2 linked regions of the Bombyx mori genome follow. Each later gene encodes a partner of the first gene's protein in a complex. Links are inferred from orthologs where the notes say so. Each region holds a gene or a part of one and is shown on either strand. Other genes may lie near its edges. The genes, in order: thioredoxin-like protein 4A and peptidyl-prolyl cis-trans isomerase H.

Evidence for each region.
Region 2: thioredoxin-like protein 4A (region 1) and peptidyl-prolyl cis-trans isomerase H share a complex: the UniProt entries of both Homo sapiens proteins name them as parts of the U4/U6-U5 tri-snRNP complex. The link is inferred for Bombyx mori from reciprocal best matches to the Homo sapiens genes TXNL4A and PPIH.

Annotation. Positions count from the first base shown.
Region 1 is NC_085120.1:13,294,609-13,298,548, forward strand, and holds thioredoxin-like protein 4A, read right to left. Parts: upstream 2,448-3,940; 5' UTR 1,638-2,447; coding exon 1,560-1,637; intron 1,269-1,559; coding exon 1,132-1,268; intron 473-1,131; coding exon 259-472; 3' UTR 49-258; downstream 1-48. UniProt on the Homo sapiens protein: Plays a role in pre-mRNA splicing as component of the U5 snRNP and U4/U6-U5 tri-snRNP complexes that are involved in spliceosome assembly, and as component of the precatalytic spliceosome (spliceosome B complex).
Region 2 is NC_085116.1:6,472,008-6,475,259, forward strand, and holds peptidyl-prolyl cis-trans isomerase H, read left to right. Parts: upstream 1-1,466; 5' UTR 1,467-1,806; coding exon 1,807-1,890; intron 1,891-1,979; coding exon 1,980-2,156; intron 2,157-2,238; coding exon 2,239-2,532; 3' UTR 2,533-2,550; downstream 2,551-3,252. Other genes in the region: coenzyme Q-binding protein COQ10 homolog A, mitochondrial, read right to left, coding at 2,720-3,185. UniProt on the Homo sapiens protein: PPIase that catalyzes the cis-trans isomerization of proline imidic peptide bonds in oligopeptides and may therefore assist protein folding. Participates in pre-mRNA splicing.

The sequences.
Region 1 (3,940 bases):
TTTTTTTTCAATGATGAAGATATTGCAACACAAAAAAAAGGATCTACATCAGCATAAAACTTGTCATTTATTCTACTTTTACTTTGTTTAATATCAGGAAGAACAGCATAATTCCAAAAACACATGAGTTATAATGTAATATGTATAGTTCTTATTTTTATATAAAAAAAGTTACATTACTAAATTTATGATGACTATGATGTCAGATATGATTACAAATTACTAGACCATTCAGGTGGAACATTATTTTAAATTAAACTAATATCTGTATTTGGTAGAGTAATCTTTCGGTGAGACAACAAGACCTCGTCCTTTTCTTGCCCCTCTGTACACAGTTTCAATAATATCAATCATCTCCTGCTTGTCTTCGAGAGGCCAGTTGATTTTATTGTTGTTGCCAGTCCCCAAGTCAATCATTATGTGTTTGTTGCGGAAGAAGAACATCACTGTGCATGGATCGTATAATTCATACCTAGAAATAAGTTTAAATAATATTATTATAGGCCTTGCTTAGTCATTTTATATACTAGACCCTTTCTACTAGACTAGAACTTTCAACCTTTTTTACTTAATGATGTATTAACATACTCTATATATACATGACACCCTTAAATGCAAAGATTTATAGTTGGGAGTGATGGTTGTTGGTATTTACATCACTCATATGTAATACTGTTGTATGGTTAATATTTAATAAACAATTGTATATTTAACCAACATGTATCCCTGAGATGCAATTTCCCAGATCACCTTAAATAAAAATTGAAATATCGTATTTCTAATTTTCACAACACACTTGACTTGCAACATTCCAGTGATCAAGAACTGCTGTTCTACTCTAGTCTTAAAATCAACAATTTGAAAAAAATTATTAACAATGTAGATAATGAAATTCATTTACTGTATGAACCAGACTTATTAAGAATTCCTAGAAAACTCATAGTTCTTTGCTTCTTCACTTATGATACTTTTTTAATAATTAATAAAACAACAAATTTAATAATACAACATAATTTCCTTAAAACACTGGAGGTAGGAGGACTTGTGTATTCCACAAAGGTTTTAAGAAAACCTATCAAAATCTTAATTTCAGAAATAAATTTAGAACAAGTAGTTTTACGGTATACTTACATTTTATTAAAATCTGGAACTTCTGTAATGTCAACTAAATATATGACAGCAAAATTTTTTACTTTTTCCGCAATGCTGTATAATACTTCATCCATTTTCATACATGTTGGGTCCCAGTCGTGTCCAAACCTTATAACCTAGATATGTAAATTAGAATTAATTACATTTAATATAGTTGAATCATAGGGCAAGACAATTAGGCCACTAATTAAATAACTATTAACTGTTTTGGCTCAAAGCATTTTGTTAGTTCCTTTAATTCAAAATCTATTGTTTTTTATACTAGAAGGTTGAAGGTCTTGGTTTCTACTGCATTTATATACTTTAACAAATACCTATTGATGTAAGGTTAGAATATAATTATTATTTTTAGTCTTCAGATACTAAATCTCAGATTTCTACATTCTATGAATCTAGTTAAAACTCACCACTACACGGTCTTCTTCTGATAGAATGGCCTGATCTACTTGCCAACCATTGTGTAGATGTCCTAGCATATAACTCATTTTGCAAATAAACTACTTTACGTATTATTTCAAACAAACGATTATTCCTGTATTCTTTTTTCTGGAAATTGCTATTGCTATGAGCAAAATATAATCGTGTTGTAGGACCACTGAACAAATATTGATATTATTTTGCTCACTGAAATTTGCCTTTCACATCTAAGACATTCCAAAGTTATTTTATTCTCACATTTTGTTTCTCGTCACTGTTCACGTTTTCTATAGAAGTGTGTTCAAAAAGTTTAGAGCAGGCGTTGTCTTTTTTGTTACTTCATAACAAAAAGAATGTTCTGTGAAATAGAGAACTTTAAATTTATAATTATTTAATAATATGTAGGTATTAAGATATGACTATTCTATGAGTAAATTTACAAACACTGACTTTTACCAGGTCATAAAATACCTTAAAAAAAATCACAGACCACAGTATGACGTATGACAGTAGCAGTTCCATTTTCCAACAAGAAAGGCGGAGGTATCAGTCCATACAGCGTAATCTTTCATGGAATTATTCTGTTATTTATATCAATTTAATATGAAGTTAATAATGATATGGATGAAATGAGGTGAAGTTTATTTATTTGAGGCTTTAATGTTAATCATATATTTTATCGTTACAACTCTTATAGGTACAACAAGGTATTTAAATTAAATTATATAGGTATAGGATATAGGTTATAGGATTTAAATTAAATAAAATTAATAATTTTGTGCAGCGACCGGCGCGGCGCGTGCGCGTTATTCAATTTTTCTTTATCGACCCTCCGTATTTTTACGAATCCTGCGAGGCGTCGCGGCGTCGGTCGCACGGCGTTGTTCGACACTTTAGGGTTCCGCTTAGCGTGCGGGTGTTGTAACGTAATGTTACAACTGAAATCGTCTGCAAAATAAAAAAAGAAAATAAAAAAAACCTTAAAACAAAAGTATTTATGTTCAAAGCAGTTATTTTATCGATTGTACCGCTGAGGTGACAACAATAGTTCCCACCTCCCCCCGAGACGTAGGTTCGGCTGGCGCAGACACTGCGCAGCCGCTGCGCCGGCAGTCGTCACTAGAATCGACATCAACCCCACGAAAAGCACAGCGGTGCTCTTCAAAAGGGGTCGCCCTCCGAACACCACGCTGAGCATCCCCCTCCCGACTAGGCGCGTCAACACCTCCGCCCCCGCCATTCGCCCAATCACGATGTTCGACCAGCCCATACCGTGGGCCCCGAAGGTCAAATATTTAGGCGTCACCCTCGACAGTAGGATGACATTCCGCCCTCACATCAAGACGGTACGCGACCGTGCCGCCTTCATTCTAGGACGTCTCTACCCGATGATATGTAGGCGAAGTAAAATGTCCCTTAGAAATAAGGTGACACTCTACAAAATTTGCATACGCCCCGTCATGACCTATGCAAGTGTAGTGTTCGCTCACGCGGCCCGCACTCACTTAAAATCGTTCCACATTATTCAATCCCGTTTTTGCAGGATAGCCGTCGGAGCCCCGTGGTTCGTCAGGAACGTCGACCTCCATGACGACCTGGACTTAGAGTCCATCAGTAAGTATCTACAGTCGGCGTCGATGCGCCACTTCGATAAAGCGGCACGACACGAGAACCCTCTCATCGTGGCCGCCGGTAACTACATTCCCGATCCTGCGGACAGAATGGAAAGCAGTCGACGTCGCCCAAAACACGTCATCTCGGATCCTCCCGATCCACTAACGGTGCTTCTAGGTACTTCAAGTACCGGTCACCGTTCTCGTCGAACCCGTCGCTTGCGACGAAGGGCTCGACGAGTAAATTAACTCTCAGACACAGCCCACTGAGTTTCTCGCCGGATCTTCTCAGTGGGTCGCGTTTCCGATCCGGTGGTAGATTCTGCGAAGCACGGGTCTTGCTAGGGTTCGTGTTAGCAACGTCATCAGGTTTGAGCCCCGCGAGCTCAACTACAAAAGTTAGGGTTACGCTGAAATAGCCTCTCAAGGCTCTCAGCGTAGGTAGAAAAAAAAAGTGTGTGTGTCCGCTCCGACGCACGACTGGAGTTTACTGGATATAAATATAAATTTGTGTCAGTTGAATACAGTAAAATATGGAAGTTACGTATTCTAGTGAGAATGATCCGGGAGTTGCGGAACACGTGGATGCGGTAATTAAGTAAGTCTATATAATTCACTTTTACAATTAATATATAAGTTGTCCATTCACTGATAGAAGGAATTGTTTATATTTAATAAGCTTTATTAATAAATGATTTGTAGCGGGTTATATTCGGGTATCAACCCACTAACAGTTGATACGTTCAGGAATCGAACCC
Region 2 (3,252 bases), on another chromosome or scaffold:
CCCCTAGGCACGGGACCTCGTAGGAGGTTCGGCCCCCGCCCGAAAATTATAATAATAATAATAAATGGTTAGGAATTGGACTTGGAAAAAATGAATGACTAAATATTAGAATCAGAAGGAGATTATTGTATGTCTGTATTTTAAACTATACTGATAACTATATAGATGTATATTTTGGAACTTTGCAATATTTATACTCTATTTATTATAATACTATATTTATATAATTAAACTTTATACTTTAAATTTCAAATATTTCATAATCAGACATAATTAAAATGATTACATAAAGTAACTAAGTTTTTTTGAAATCTAGATTAATTAACATAAAAAAGTAAACGAAATGAAACCGACCCAAAGTTTTAAGTTACACTGTGGTGGTTGTTGGCATTCACTTTGTAAGTATTCGTTCCGATGAAAACTTAATATCAGCCAAACATAAAACAATAAATAAATAAAACTGCAATAATATGTATACTTTTTTATCTATTCACTTGAATCGAAAATGAACATTCATCACATCCAATTATTACACTAGATTGCACAAAATTACTTTTATTAAGCACATACACCCCACCACATCTACAATCGTATAAATACACATTTTCATCACTGTCAAACACCATTTCAGACAGTCTTACTGTTTCATAAAGCAATAGATCACTATTTTCATGGCAACTTAATGTAGCATCATACTGTTTCCTGGTGCTAGGTTCTCTTAAAACTGACCAAGCTTTTTGTAATAGGCGAAACTTATTATCAGAATCATCAGTTTTATTTTTATCGGGATGTAATGTCAAAGCGAGTCGCTGATAACTTTTCTTCAATTCTTCAAGGCTTGCTGTTCTATCGCAATCTAGTATTTGATAATAATCAATAGGTAGGTCATTACTTTCCATATTTAATAAAAACTCGTAAAAGAGTTTTATTTATAAAAAATAGTTTACCTCTCTTTAATTCAATTGCTGTTCCCACTTCCCAGTCTTTGATTAGAATTTTTTTGTATTTTATTTATGGCCTGGCCCAGTCTTTGATTGATTGTTTGAAATTCATTCTTTATTGTATTATCTATAATTTGTTCATTGGACGGGCAAAAGGAGATAGACCATACAAATTTCAATACTCTTGTCACAAAACTGTAACCTTTAAATAAATATAAATATAATATATATAAATTTAAATGTATGTTAGGTAAGGGGAATAATGGAATTAAATTAATTGCTCATGGGATAAAATTTAAGGAAGTGAATTAAGAAAGACATCACCGTAGGTATTTGTTAGATAATAAATAAGGTTCCATTAAAACTTATAAGATAGGTATGGCGTTCAAATCTGAAGAAACGCACAATTTACGAAATACAATAATTTACACGACTTTGTCCTTCCCCGAAAAAAAGTCCCGCCCAATATACAATTGTTGACGAATAATACCATAGTCGTCTGTGATCACGAATACTTTATGTAGTTATTCTAAGCGTTAGAAATAATTGAAATTAAACGGTTAGGATAGTTTTATTATTATCTACGATTCGCCGAAATAGAAGAAACTGCTATAATCTTAAAATGTAACAAATTCGCTAAACGTGAAGTTTTGTCCTTTGAAGTCACCAGAAATTCCGTTTTTAGATCTGGACAAATAGGCTTGTAAGCTACCTAATGTCAAGGAAAGGATGTCAAAAGTATAACCTCAAAATTTGACAGCCGGGTAACAATAAACATCAAACAAACTAAAACTTATAGAAGTTTTAAATTGTTAACACAAATGTAATGTTGTTTTAGTAAAAATTTCAATATTAACACATTGAAATGCCTACTTGGAACCAAATACAGTCACAACTTAGGAATCCTAACAATCCAGTAGTGTTTTTCGACATTACTGTAGGAACAACGGTAAATACCTCCCCGAACTTATTGTTTTTTATTAGATTTAAAAGAACACACAAAAATTTATGTTTATAAAATATTTATGTTTATTTTAGGAAATAGGTCGTATGATATTCGAGTTATTCGCCGACGTAGTACCAAAAACTAGTGAGAACTTCAGAGAATTTTGTACCGGTGAATACAGGCGGGATGGTGTGCCCTTAGGTTACAAAGGAGCTACTTTTCACAGAGTAATAAAAGATTTTATGATTCAGGGTGGCGATTTCGTAAATGTACGTATTAAGTTTTGTTTATGATAAAACGATGCCTAACTGAACATGATGGAAGTTTATTAATATTTACTATTCATTTTAGGGAGACGGTACAGGCGTTATGAGCATATATGGTGGAAGCACTTTTGCAGATGAAAACTTTGGTTTGAAACATGACTCTCCAGGGTTATTGTCCATGGCAAATAGTGGTAAAGACACGAATGGCTGTCAGTTCTTTATCACATGTGCAAAATGTAATTTCTTAGACAATAAGCATGTAGTATTTGGTAGAGTTATAGATGGATTACTTGTCATGAGGAAAATAGAAAATGTACCAACAGGACCAAATAATAAACCTAAAATACCAGTAACAATATCTCAATGTGGACAAATGTAAATAAAACTTCACTTTAAATTTTATCTTTTTATTATCATTAAATCACAATGGCTCTGCCTCACATTTCTAACAGACTAATAGATAAAATATAATATTCACAAATTTTTACATAAAGTAATCACAATAAATACTCAATAATTATGTACACTGAATTGAACTAATTTTTTTGGTTTGCAATTAGTAAGCGTCAAGTTTTCAAAGTGTGATTGTTTATTAGTAACTTTCTAGGCTGCATTGTTGCCGGCCCATTGCGCCTTCCGACTTCTTTAATGAAAGCACCTTCCATTTGTCGAGCAACTTGGTCAAAAAACAAATTAGATAAATGTGAATGTATAGCTGATCTAAATTCGAATGTTATCTGGAAGTCCACAACACACGACTGCTGTTCTCTTTTTAGACCAGGACTGAATCTCCAAAGGGTCAACATATGGTGGAAGAGTCTTCCATCAGAACACTCTGCTTTTACCAAATGTGGTTTGACTAGCGTAACATTTGAAGTGTAGCTTTCATTGATAGGAGGAAAGCCAATGATCAAGTCCGCCTTCAGGTTTCCTGGTGTTTCTTTCAAAACTATAGACTTTTTGCACCACGGTAGGAATTTGTTGTAGCTTCCTACATCTGATACAACTTCAAACATTTGCTCCATTGTGTAGCTGTGAAAATAGATTTATATGAAACTAGATTCCATTTTAAGGTATACAGTAATGGATATAAACAAAA